Coturnix japonica: one gene and its partners. The protein of the gene in region 1 purifies or fractionates together with the protein of each later gene. This does not show direct contact. Links are inferred from orthologs where the notes say so. Each region holds a gene or a part of one and is shown on either strand. Other genes may lie near its edges. The genes, in order: EXOC6, EXOC3 and EXOC7.

Evidence for each region.
Region 2: the proteins of EXOC6 (region 1) and EXOC3 purify together in Homo sapiens (affinity purification with mass spectrometry; 6 studies listed by BioGRID and IntAct, counting the BioPlex papers as one, with this or other methods). This does not show direct contact. The link is inferred for Coturnix japonica from reciprocal best matches to the Homo sapiens genes EXOC6 and EXOC3.
Region 3: the proteins of EXOC6 (region 1) and EXOC7 purify together in Homo sapiens (affinity purification with mass spectrometry; 4 studies listed by BioGRID and IntAct, counting the BioPlex papers as one, with this or other methods). This does not show direct contact. The link is inferred for Coturnix japonica from reciprocal best matches to the Homo sapiens genes EXOC6 and EXOC7.

Annotation. Positions count from the first base shown.
Region 1 is NC_029521.1:17,890,424-17,894,082, forward strand, and holds part of EXOC6 (exocyst complex component 6), read right to left. Parts: intron 3,492-3,659; coding exon 3,386-3,491; intron 2,475-3,385; coding exon 2,365-2,474; intron 1,364-2,364; coding exon 1,252-1,363; intron 35-1,251; coding exon 1-34. UniProt on the Homo sapiens protein: Component of the exocyst complex involved in the docking of exocytic vesicles with fusion sites on the plasma membrane.
Region 2 is NC_029517.1:80,101,387-80,104,113, reverse strand, and holds the end of EXOC3 (exocyst complex component 3), read right to left. Parts: intron 2,416-2,727; coding exon 2,254-2,415; intron 2,066-2,253; coding exon 1,938-2,065; intron 1,324-1,937; coding exon 1,152-1,323; 3' UTR 617-1,151; downstream 1-616. UniProt on the Homo sapiens protein: Component of the exocyst complex involved in the docking of exocytic vesicles with fusion sites on the plasma membrane.
Region 3 is NC_029533.1:3,930,017-3,933,675, reverse strand, and holds part of EXOC7 (exocyst complex component 7), read right to left. Parts: intron 2,674-3,659; coding exon 2,528-2,673; intron 2,216-2,527; coding exon 2,063-2,215; intron 1,641-2,062; coding exon 1,542-1,640; intron 979-1,541; coding exon 916-978; intron 592-915; coding exon 525-591; intron 1-524. UniProt on the Homo sapiens protein: Component of the exocyst complex involved in the docking of exocytic vesicles with fusion sites on the plasma membrane.

The DNA of each region.
Region 1 (3,659 bases):
CCAGGTGCGTTGTGTTTATGATGATTTGAACAAGCTACAAGAAACAAATAATTATAATAAAATGCCTTTTTCTATTATTCATTGACATTTGATTTTTGTAAATGGGGGCTTCTTTCAGAAACAGTGTTGCCAGAAGTTTACTGCAGTATTTCAGGCTATCAGCTATCAACTGACAACATTCAAGTTAGCTTTCAAATACCGGTAAGGAGTAATGCCACAGTTTACATACAAATGCCATTTTAAAAAAAATGAAGATTGTAGATATCTACCCAGTGAAATTAATTCAACTGTTATTTCAGAATTTAAAAAAGGGGAAAATAAAGGATAACATATTGCCAAAATTAAATCACTAATTCATACTACAAAAGCAAGGAAACAAGAAAGCAAACATCATTGCTGCAATTAAAATAAATAAATACATCAATACATAAAAGCAATGTAGTAAGAAGTTCGGAAATTTCAAATATATGACTGCATCCCCCCCTAAATGGTAATAATACTGCTCTAGAAATAAATATGCACGATACTGATATTATTTACATCTTTTTATAGGCAGGACTTTCATTCATGTTCAGTTCATAAATTACACAACACAGATGCTGCATAATAACTGAAACAGTGGTGTATGATTTCTAATATCTTCACTACTTGCAGTCTGGCTCCAGTACCTTTTAGTGAACACTAATCTAATGTTAGGAAAAGTAACAGCTTTGTATTTTAAACTTTTTTATTATAACATACCATCCTGATATTTAAATACCTAAAAAATATTAGTGATTTTTTCATATTCTGTACCAATTTCAAGAATGTAGAAAACTTTCTCAGAATAATTTTATAGCTTGGCATACAAGTGTGTCAATATACAAATTAGAACCTTTCCCTCCTCATGATCTTCTTTTTATTTCATTTACACAAGAGATCCTTGCCATTTTTAAAGCAAAACTAAACATGAAAATTGCACTGCACTCATGGCAGCAGTCTAACTCCTTCCAGTAGCACAAGCATCATCCTTCAGTTCCAACTAGATCCACATTGGTTTTGATTGTTTGGTTGTTTTTGTTTATGTCACAGCCATTGACCCTTTTTTTTGTTAATACATTCCTCATCTCTTTAAAATTTCAATTTTAAAGTAAGCACTACTTATTTTCGTTACATAATCTCAATACTATATAATATCCACATTTACAAGAATAGTTTTAGCACCAATTTCCTTACAAGAATGCAGTTCTGGGTGAGTATTTTAAAACTTACCTCTGTTAAACCTATGTGAGGTTTCTTAATTAGGTTCTGTAAACAACTACTGAGAGTTCTTGTTAGCAGCAGATTCGTTGATTTTCTAAGCATGTCATCTATTTCCGTTGAGCTGAAATAAAAGTACATTTTTAAAACATGACAATACTTTGACAGTAAAACTCTATTTCTTCCTTACAAAGAGAACTTTTAGTATTCAGAATTATCCATGTGCTTGAATTTCTGGTTGCTTCAAGCCATCTGTGATCTAACACAAAACACCTCTTTCATTTACCAAATTATCCATTAACTACATTTCAACGTTGCAGAAAACCTGTTATTTTTAGATTTTGGACGTGTTTATTGACACAGCAGTTAGGAAGGAGTAATTTGTGTTTTGTAATGAGTTACCATGGAGGTCAACATGCACCAATTAGTACGTGTAAATTATAAACAGTAACAATTAAGAACGTGTGAAAGCAATTCATTTACATCTTTAACGGAGCAGAAGTGGGTGAGCAGTCACAAATAACTCCCAGATTTCAGACCTGCCACGTTATTTTACATAATTATAACTGAGCTTTAAAGCTTCACAAGAAAACAGGAGATGTCAGAAATGTTATATTTTCCTTTGGGAAAAGGTGGGAAAGAAGAGGGAATTAGCATGCAGACAGCATGTTGTGTTACAGGAAAAATAATTACTAGGGAAACTCAAAGCAGTGAAAATTGTAAGGTGTTTAAAGTAATCAGGGATGCTACACAATTATTTCTGAAATGATAATTATTAAAGTATACAGGCTTTGTTAAACAACAACAAAAAAATCTCCAGATTATCCAAATCAGTCAATACTGTTAAAAAAGCCCTAATGCTGCTTTGGTGTGTTCACTACACTAAGCAAAATTCATTTACACATACATGCATTCCATACCTACATGTATATACATACATGAAATATATATCATAGCACTGGGAATCACAGATAAAATATAACAAATTACACATGTAATTTAAGAAACAAACAAAGCAAGTAAGCACCCAGGAAAACCTATTTTCAATTTAATACAAATTATTAGTTTACCTGGAAGTTATGGGATAGTTTATACTCATTTGCATTCACAGTACTTATAGATTACCTGCGGTGAAGTGATTCTGAAAACTTAAGGCTTGCATAAATGAATTCCTTAACCTGGATATATATCTGAGGCACTGACTGAGACATCGGGAGCTTCTTTGGAAAGGACTGCTGTAAAAATAAAGATAATCCTCTGATTCTAAGGAGAGATTGGTATTAAATACTGGAAAATCACTTACCAATATTTCACCTATCATAAGTTTTTCCATTTTAAACCAAATATATTCTGTGGTGTGTATTGAACTGATTTCTGTATCCGTTTAAATACATTAAAGTTTGGAGTGTTGATTGTTCTCTATCAGCTATCTTCCTGCTGAATCATAAAATTAGATTCCATTTTCAGGTAGGTATCTGCAGCAGTGCATCTTGATTAAACCAGCTTCCCTCTACACCAACTACTCTCACTGTGCTTTAATTTCCTTATGTAAATTCTACCATGGGTTTGTTATTACTTGATCAGTTCCATCAAAACCACTTTCAGAAGGCAGAACATACTAATCACCCTTCCATGAAAGAAAATTTTAGAGAGAATGGCTGACGCTAAGAAAGAATATCCCACTGGGATGTCAGTACAGCAGAATTCTTTACAGCCTCTTCATATCTACTTTGTCCCACATATTCAGATAATAAATAACTAATTTACAAAGTGAAATAATGAAGTTGCTATCTCTAATACATTCCTGATGATCATTACCTGCATTGCTGCAAAACCACAGCATACAACATACCATGGGTTACAAAACCCAATGTTTTGCAACAAAATCTAAGTTAACTCATTAAATAAAGACTGGATTGATTAAAATGAATTATTAGTTTACAAAACAGTAGGTCTCATTATTCACTCAAACATCAGAGCAAGTGATTAGAGCTTTAATTTTCCTATTTATTTATGAATACATAATTACACTCTTAATCTACCAAGCTTTTCTATTTTTAATTACTTTCTAATTAGAAATATAATTTCTGTTCTAACCATTCCGAATTGGATTTTGGCAAATCTTAATAACAAAACTTTTCCTTACCTTATCAAGTTCTGAATCTTGAAAAGGAAATTTGCTTATAACTATTTTGTATTCTTCTTCATTTGCTACAGGAATAGGGCTGTAGTTATCTGCTTCAAAAATATCCCTGGCAAATTAGTTAATAAAGCGAAAAAACAAGAATATTTAATTTATTAATAGTATTTTACAATAATAAAGCATACTAATGAATATACAAATTACTACTACATTTACGTGTGCAATGTTAAAATATTATGAACTGGAATCATTCTAGTTTCAAAAGTCTGAAATATGT
Region 2 (2,727 bases), on another chromosome or scaffold:
GGGGCGGGGGTGATGTCAGCAGGCAGCGCCAAGCGGGGAAGCACCATGGCGACAAGAAGCCGGTGCTTCCTAAGGCCGTGCGGGCCCGGCCTGGAACCCGCGGCTTCCCTGGACTGTCTATGTAAAATCAGCTTTTACATAGAGTCATAAGGTTGGAAAGGACCTACAGGATCACCTAGTCCAGCCGCCCTCCCATTACCATACCTACAGCAAAGCACTAAACCATATCTCGTAGCTCCTCATCCAGATGCCTCTCGAACACTGACAGGGATGGTGACTCCACCACCTCCCTATGCAGCCATTCCAGTGTCTGACCACTGTCTGAGAGATAAAGCTCCTTCTTATATCCAATCTAAACCTCATCTGGTACAACTTGCGGCCATTTACTCGGGTCCTGTTTGTTGCCTGGCAGAAGAGGCCAAGCCCCTCCTCATCACAACCTCCCTTCAGGAAGTTATAGAGAGCAATAATGTCTCCCCTGAGCCTCCTCTTCTCCAGGCTGAACAATCCCAGCTCCCTCAGCCGCCCCTCATAAGGCCTGTGCTCCAGACCTTTCACTATGTAAAAGTTCATCCCCCCCCTCAGCCAAAACACAGCACACACAGCAGAACATGGCCATGGTCCAGCATTTTATTGAACAAGTGATGATTCGTGTGCTCTTTTTAGTGAATCCACAAAGACATATTGTACCTCATGCTGTTTTTAGCTATTTATTTATTCCCTCTACAGTCCCGTGGCCAGGAAGCTGGCTCCATAATTAAGGTTTTTGCCATAAACTATTTTACACCCAAGTAATTACATACACCAAGTTTAACGTGGGAGTGGAATGGGGACATTAATGTACACCCAATGCTGTGCCATGGGACGATGACTCTAGGACAGCAATATACACCCAGCACTGCCACAGCCGTGTTATTTTCAGTGTAAGTATCTTTATACATTTGCAATGCCACATTTCACGACTCAAAATGTATTTGCTGACAGCAGCATCAGCACCTGTAGAAATCTCATTATATTCCACATCTTCAGAAAGAAACAGATCTAGTGTGCATCGAATGTTACTTGAAATAGCACTGCCAAACTTGCCCTCTAATACTTCACACCCATCAATCCCACACCAGTGGGATCCCACACATGAACAGAGCTGTCCATTACTTAAGTAGTTTCGGCACAGTTAGAGTAGGAACTGTAATTTCTTTAAAAATTGGCACGTAGTTTGGGTTGGGTTGGCTTGGCCCTTGATCCAAAGTCTCGATGATAGTCTGCTTCATATCTCTGCTGGCATCTCCCCTCACCGTCAGCAAAGCCGCAATGTGGTCATCCCTGCCAAAACGCAAAGGTAAGGCTGGCATTAGCTCTTGCGGAAATAATACTGCATTGGAAATATCACACATCATCCTTCACTGACTCTAATTCATAATCAGATCTCGAGTCACAAAGAACTGGTGTTTCCAGCTACCTATAAGGCACTATTTTTGACTACGCTTAGGAATTTAAGATGCGTTTCATCCTCCCGAGACGCAACAGGAATATTCCCATTATTCCTTTGCCATACCAGTGAGTACTTAAACGCATATTGTGCCCCGGTGACACAGTGGTAGGAATGCCACTTTGCAACACCAGAGCCCGGGTTTGAATCCCCCCTGTGGCGCAAGTGGTAGAAGTGCCGCTCTGCTACACAGAGGCTCGAATCCCGGGGGTTGGACTTGATGATCTCTAAGGTCCCTTCCAACCCACATGAGACTGTGACACTGTGTGATACTGTGTTATACCTCCTAGTCCAAGACATGTACGTTTGCGATTAGCATCATTTGGAAAGAGCATCTACATTTCCAAATATGATCGATATGAACATATTACACATTGTTTTCAAATTATCCCACTGATAAGAAGAAACTGTATTACCTCTTTTTAACTTTGAAGGCAAAGAGAATTACCTGATATCTGGGTATTTACTGACTAAAGTTGAAACTTCCAGATAGAGCAGGGAAGGATCGGTTAGTTTGATAACCTCTGCAATAGCTTCAATGATATCACAGAGTCCTTCAGTGTCCTCTCCAGATCCCTGGAAAATAGTGATAAAAATAATAATGACGATGCTGTTAAATTCCCTCAGTAGTGGAAACTTTAGCCATTAAGACAAAAACCTTTGCAAACTGTCATATTAAGGCTCTTTTCTTCTGCATTTCCCTATTCCTTCCCACCCACAGATATCATTACTAAGTTAACATTGTTGTTGAAACAAATACTTACAGATGTGAGTTTCTTAAACAGAAATCTGAACTGTTCTGCTTCTTTGATCATTTTTTCTGCACCCTCTTTTCTCTCTTCTGCATTCTTGAAAGAGATGCGTTTCAACATGATGGCCCTGATGTATTCCACAACCACCCTTCGATGGGCCTCCATGGTCATCGTCTGAAAGAAAGAAGAGGAGCCTTATGCCAGTGATAACTACCAAAGTCCCCATTCTGTGCAATGATTAGGCTTTGAAACACGTTGTTGTGCTTTATATATGGTTTATATATGGTTTATAAATGGTTTGCACTAATACAGATAGTATATTAATATAATATATTAATTTAGTTAGGTACTGGAATAGGCTCCCCAGGGAGGTGGTTGAGTCACCATCCCTGGATGTGTTTAAGAGCCGTTTGGATGTGGTGCTCAGGGATATGATTTAGTGTAGGGTTGTTAGAGTTAGGGTACTGGTTAGGCTGTGGTTGGACT
Region 3 (3,659 bases), on another chromosome or scaffold:
TAGCGACCTCAAGAGCAGAGCTAAAACTTTTCTCACCTGAGCATGAATAGCTCTCAGGAGTCCCAACCTGACAGTGGCTGGACACTGAGGAGACTGTTCTTGGTACTGCTGTTGTACTCTAACCAGAGAATGTGGCGGAGAAAGAAGGTAATTAGTCACCTTGTAGTCCAGTTACAGCTAAAAGAGGACCTTGTTCAGTACAGTCACAGGGAATTGGTTTTGTGTCAGATTTAGAGCTAATTTTCTAAGGCATCCTCTCTCAACACTACAGTATCAATCAATCTGATAAGTACCTGATAAAAGCAAATGTGGAAGGCCAGCAGAGAAATGCTCTGCACAACTTGGAGCTCTCCACACAACCAACTATATGGTCATGGCAGACTGGAGGACAGGACACACCATAAGGCAAAGGACAGGAGGAGAACCAGTTCACACAGTGCACGCTGAGGTTTGATCTTTTTAGGGAACATGTCCAGGTGATTTGGGACAGGAACTGCATGCCCAAATAAACCCCATGCATGTACCTTGAGATGCCAGCATGGCACCTGCCGTCTCCTGGAAATCCAATAATTGCTGTAGGAAAAGGATGGCCTGGAAGAGAGGAAGGGAAGTGAGGAAACACAGTCAATTGTTTTTATGCTCTGCTATTAAGGATCATGAAGGAACACATCTCTTCTTACTCAAAAGCCTTCAAAAAAGAGATTACTGTGCTCTTTTGAGTTGCTGGGTTTTACCCACACAACCACATCACATCTTAGAATAGGCAACCAGCTAATTTTTTCCATGGAAGCTGGTTAACTGCCCTTCTAACACCAAGACAGCTTAATTTAAAACCAGAAATTTCCCCGCTGCTCTCCCTAAAATCTTTTCAGGGGCTGTTTTTGACTACAAATGATTCAAATCATCATCACATACGTTGCTGGTGAGTTCATGAACTGTCCCATCTTTCGGCATGTTATATTCCTTGTCTGGATCATTCTAAGAAGAAAGAAAGAAACATATGGTGAGCACGTAAGGAAACTGAAGGCATCTACAATACAACCACTGCTGCAAGCGAGCTGTATGCTTGTTCATTTAGCCTCTCAACACCTCCATACTTGTTTCTCACAGTGCCACCTCCTGGTGCTCAGTACACTCTGGCAGCTCAGGATCACAGGGGTTTTGTTCAGGACACGACCAAAAGTTCAGCTCACTTAAAGGTCACTGCAATGACCAAACCCCACCTGATAAAGGGACAGTTTAGCCAGAGTCCTCCAAAACTTCTGAAATCAGCAATTTTCCCTTATTTTCAAGCAGGATTAAATTCTGACATTTGACTTGAATATCTTGTGGAGGCCTCTTGTATTTGAAATCAGCAGCCAGCATTCAGTAGTTGCAGCTGACCATCCAATACAATCCAGCAAGCAGAACCTCGCTTTAGAGTCAGAAAGTAGGTGCTCTCATTCATGGAAAGTGAAAAGCTCAGCTGGGAGTTCTGCTCATAAAACCTCCCTTTCTAAACTCATTTGTCTTGCTAGAGAGAACAGCAAAGGTAATCCTACCTTAATGTTGTCAGCAAACTCTTCCAGTGCCTTCGCACCAGTTGTCTCCATGGAAGTGATCAGCCCTGGCAGTTTGTTCTTTGTGCCTGCTGCAGTCCCCTGAAATAGTCCCATAACAGATCAGAGAAAGAAAACGAGCAGTAACTGACCCTTTGTCCAGCACCTATTCTTCTCTTTCCCCCCATACCCAATCATCTCATTCACCACATATCAAAAGAATATTGATAGCCCTAATCAACAATGAGTGAAATCCTGCACTCTTTGGTGTGACAGGAGAGGAAGATGATGTGACATTAATGACAACCAGGACTTGCTCCCTCTCTTGTATCTCTTCTTGTGCAGTACCTAACAGAGCAGGCTGGTGAATCAGTCATCAGCTCCAGCTGGAATCAGATGGAAAAGAGCCCTGCTAAACCTGGATGCCATGTCTGATACCTGGATCACCTCAAGGCATGGTCCAAGCAGGCTTTCCTCAGAGGAATTGATAGTCATACGATTGCTTTTACTCCTATCGTACTCACCTGCAAGACCTGGTCAAATTCTGGCTTCATCTGCTTGAGGTGCTTGAGGATAGGGAAGATGGTGAGCACAGCTGAATAGTCATGTCGGATGATGGCTTTCCGGGCTGCTGAGACAATGTTATCGCCCTCCATGATCAAGTTATCTAATGACTCCTGTAACAAAGCCAGACAGTCAGAAGTAAGCAGTGGCTTCTGCCCAAGCAACATAAGGGGCTGCTCAGAACCCATCAAGTATGTAAATTTAGCTGCTGGGTCACTTGTGGTACCCAGACACAGAGCACACATTCTCTATGACCAGCCACACTGGTTCCCAGCACAGGTCTGGGAAGACAGCATTAACAGTGCTGGTGCTCTTGGGTCATCCACAGCAGATGGAAGAATCCACATCCTCGTAATGAAAAAGCAGGGAAAAAGAATTTGTATGGATTCTTTATAAGGGATACCAAGGCAAGAGGCCCAACTGACCTGGATGAGGGAATCAAAAGTCTTCTTCTGGTGGTGCTCTGGGACGATCTCTGTCAGGAGCTGGTACTCACTCTGGGCCAGTTTGACAAAGGCACTCACACAGTGAATATAGGCATCGATCTCGATGTCGAACACATCATCCCTCCCTGTAAGGGCAAGATGTTTTTAAGAGAACCAATTATGCACTGAACTTCCAGCAGCTCTGCTCGCTCCAAGGCCTCAGGTTACACAAAAAGCACACAGTTCTTCTTAAACAAGCAGTGCTGGCTTTGTCCCCTTGGTTTGTGCATGGAAAGCTCTGCACACCCCAAAGGAGGCATGCAGAGTCATCTGTGGTTCAAGAAACTGACACAGCAGGATAACATCAACTCTTCCCAGCCTCGTGACAGAAGGCAAGTTTGAAACTCTTCTGGGATGCAAACTTAATTTAAACAAGGGCTTGAACAAAGAGTACTACACTAAGGATGGTCTGAGGTGAATTATTCAGCGCCTCTCCTTGTATTTTTAGGCTTCCTTATCCCCATTTGTCTGGTAGATGAAGAACTGGCACACTGCATCCGCATTTCTGGGAAATCAAGGCTGTACTGGAAGGCAGCCTCTTCCCATAGGCAGTAACTAAAGAGAACAACAGGCAGAAGGACAACTAAAACCTATGAAGCAGGAATACAGACACAGTTAGGTGAGGTATCTGCCACAAAATGTTGCGTACAAATGTGAATATTCAAATTCAAAGAGTATGAATGTGTCAAGACCCAGCAAGGAACCTATAGAGGAGGCATAAGAAGTGCCAGTAAGATACAAAGGCACACACCAACTCATGCCAGCCACTGGCTGGATTTGTCAACAGGACAGACACAAACGGACTCACATCATCCTGCAGAACTCAGATTCCTGTAGTAACCATTATAGAACAGCAAAATTAATGCAGAGAGGCCTTCTCTGAGCTGCAGGCTGCTGCCTCCCTCCTGCCAGCAGCATCAGCAACTATAGATGGAGAAAGAAGCAACACTGACAGGTACCTCGGGATGATCTTTTAAAGGTTCTGGTCAGCAAGTGACAAGCAAATGTGATGTGGTATTACACACAGCCTATGGTGTACTACCTGCCACATGTGATCCCTGTTTGCTTCACT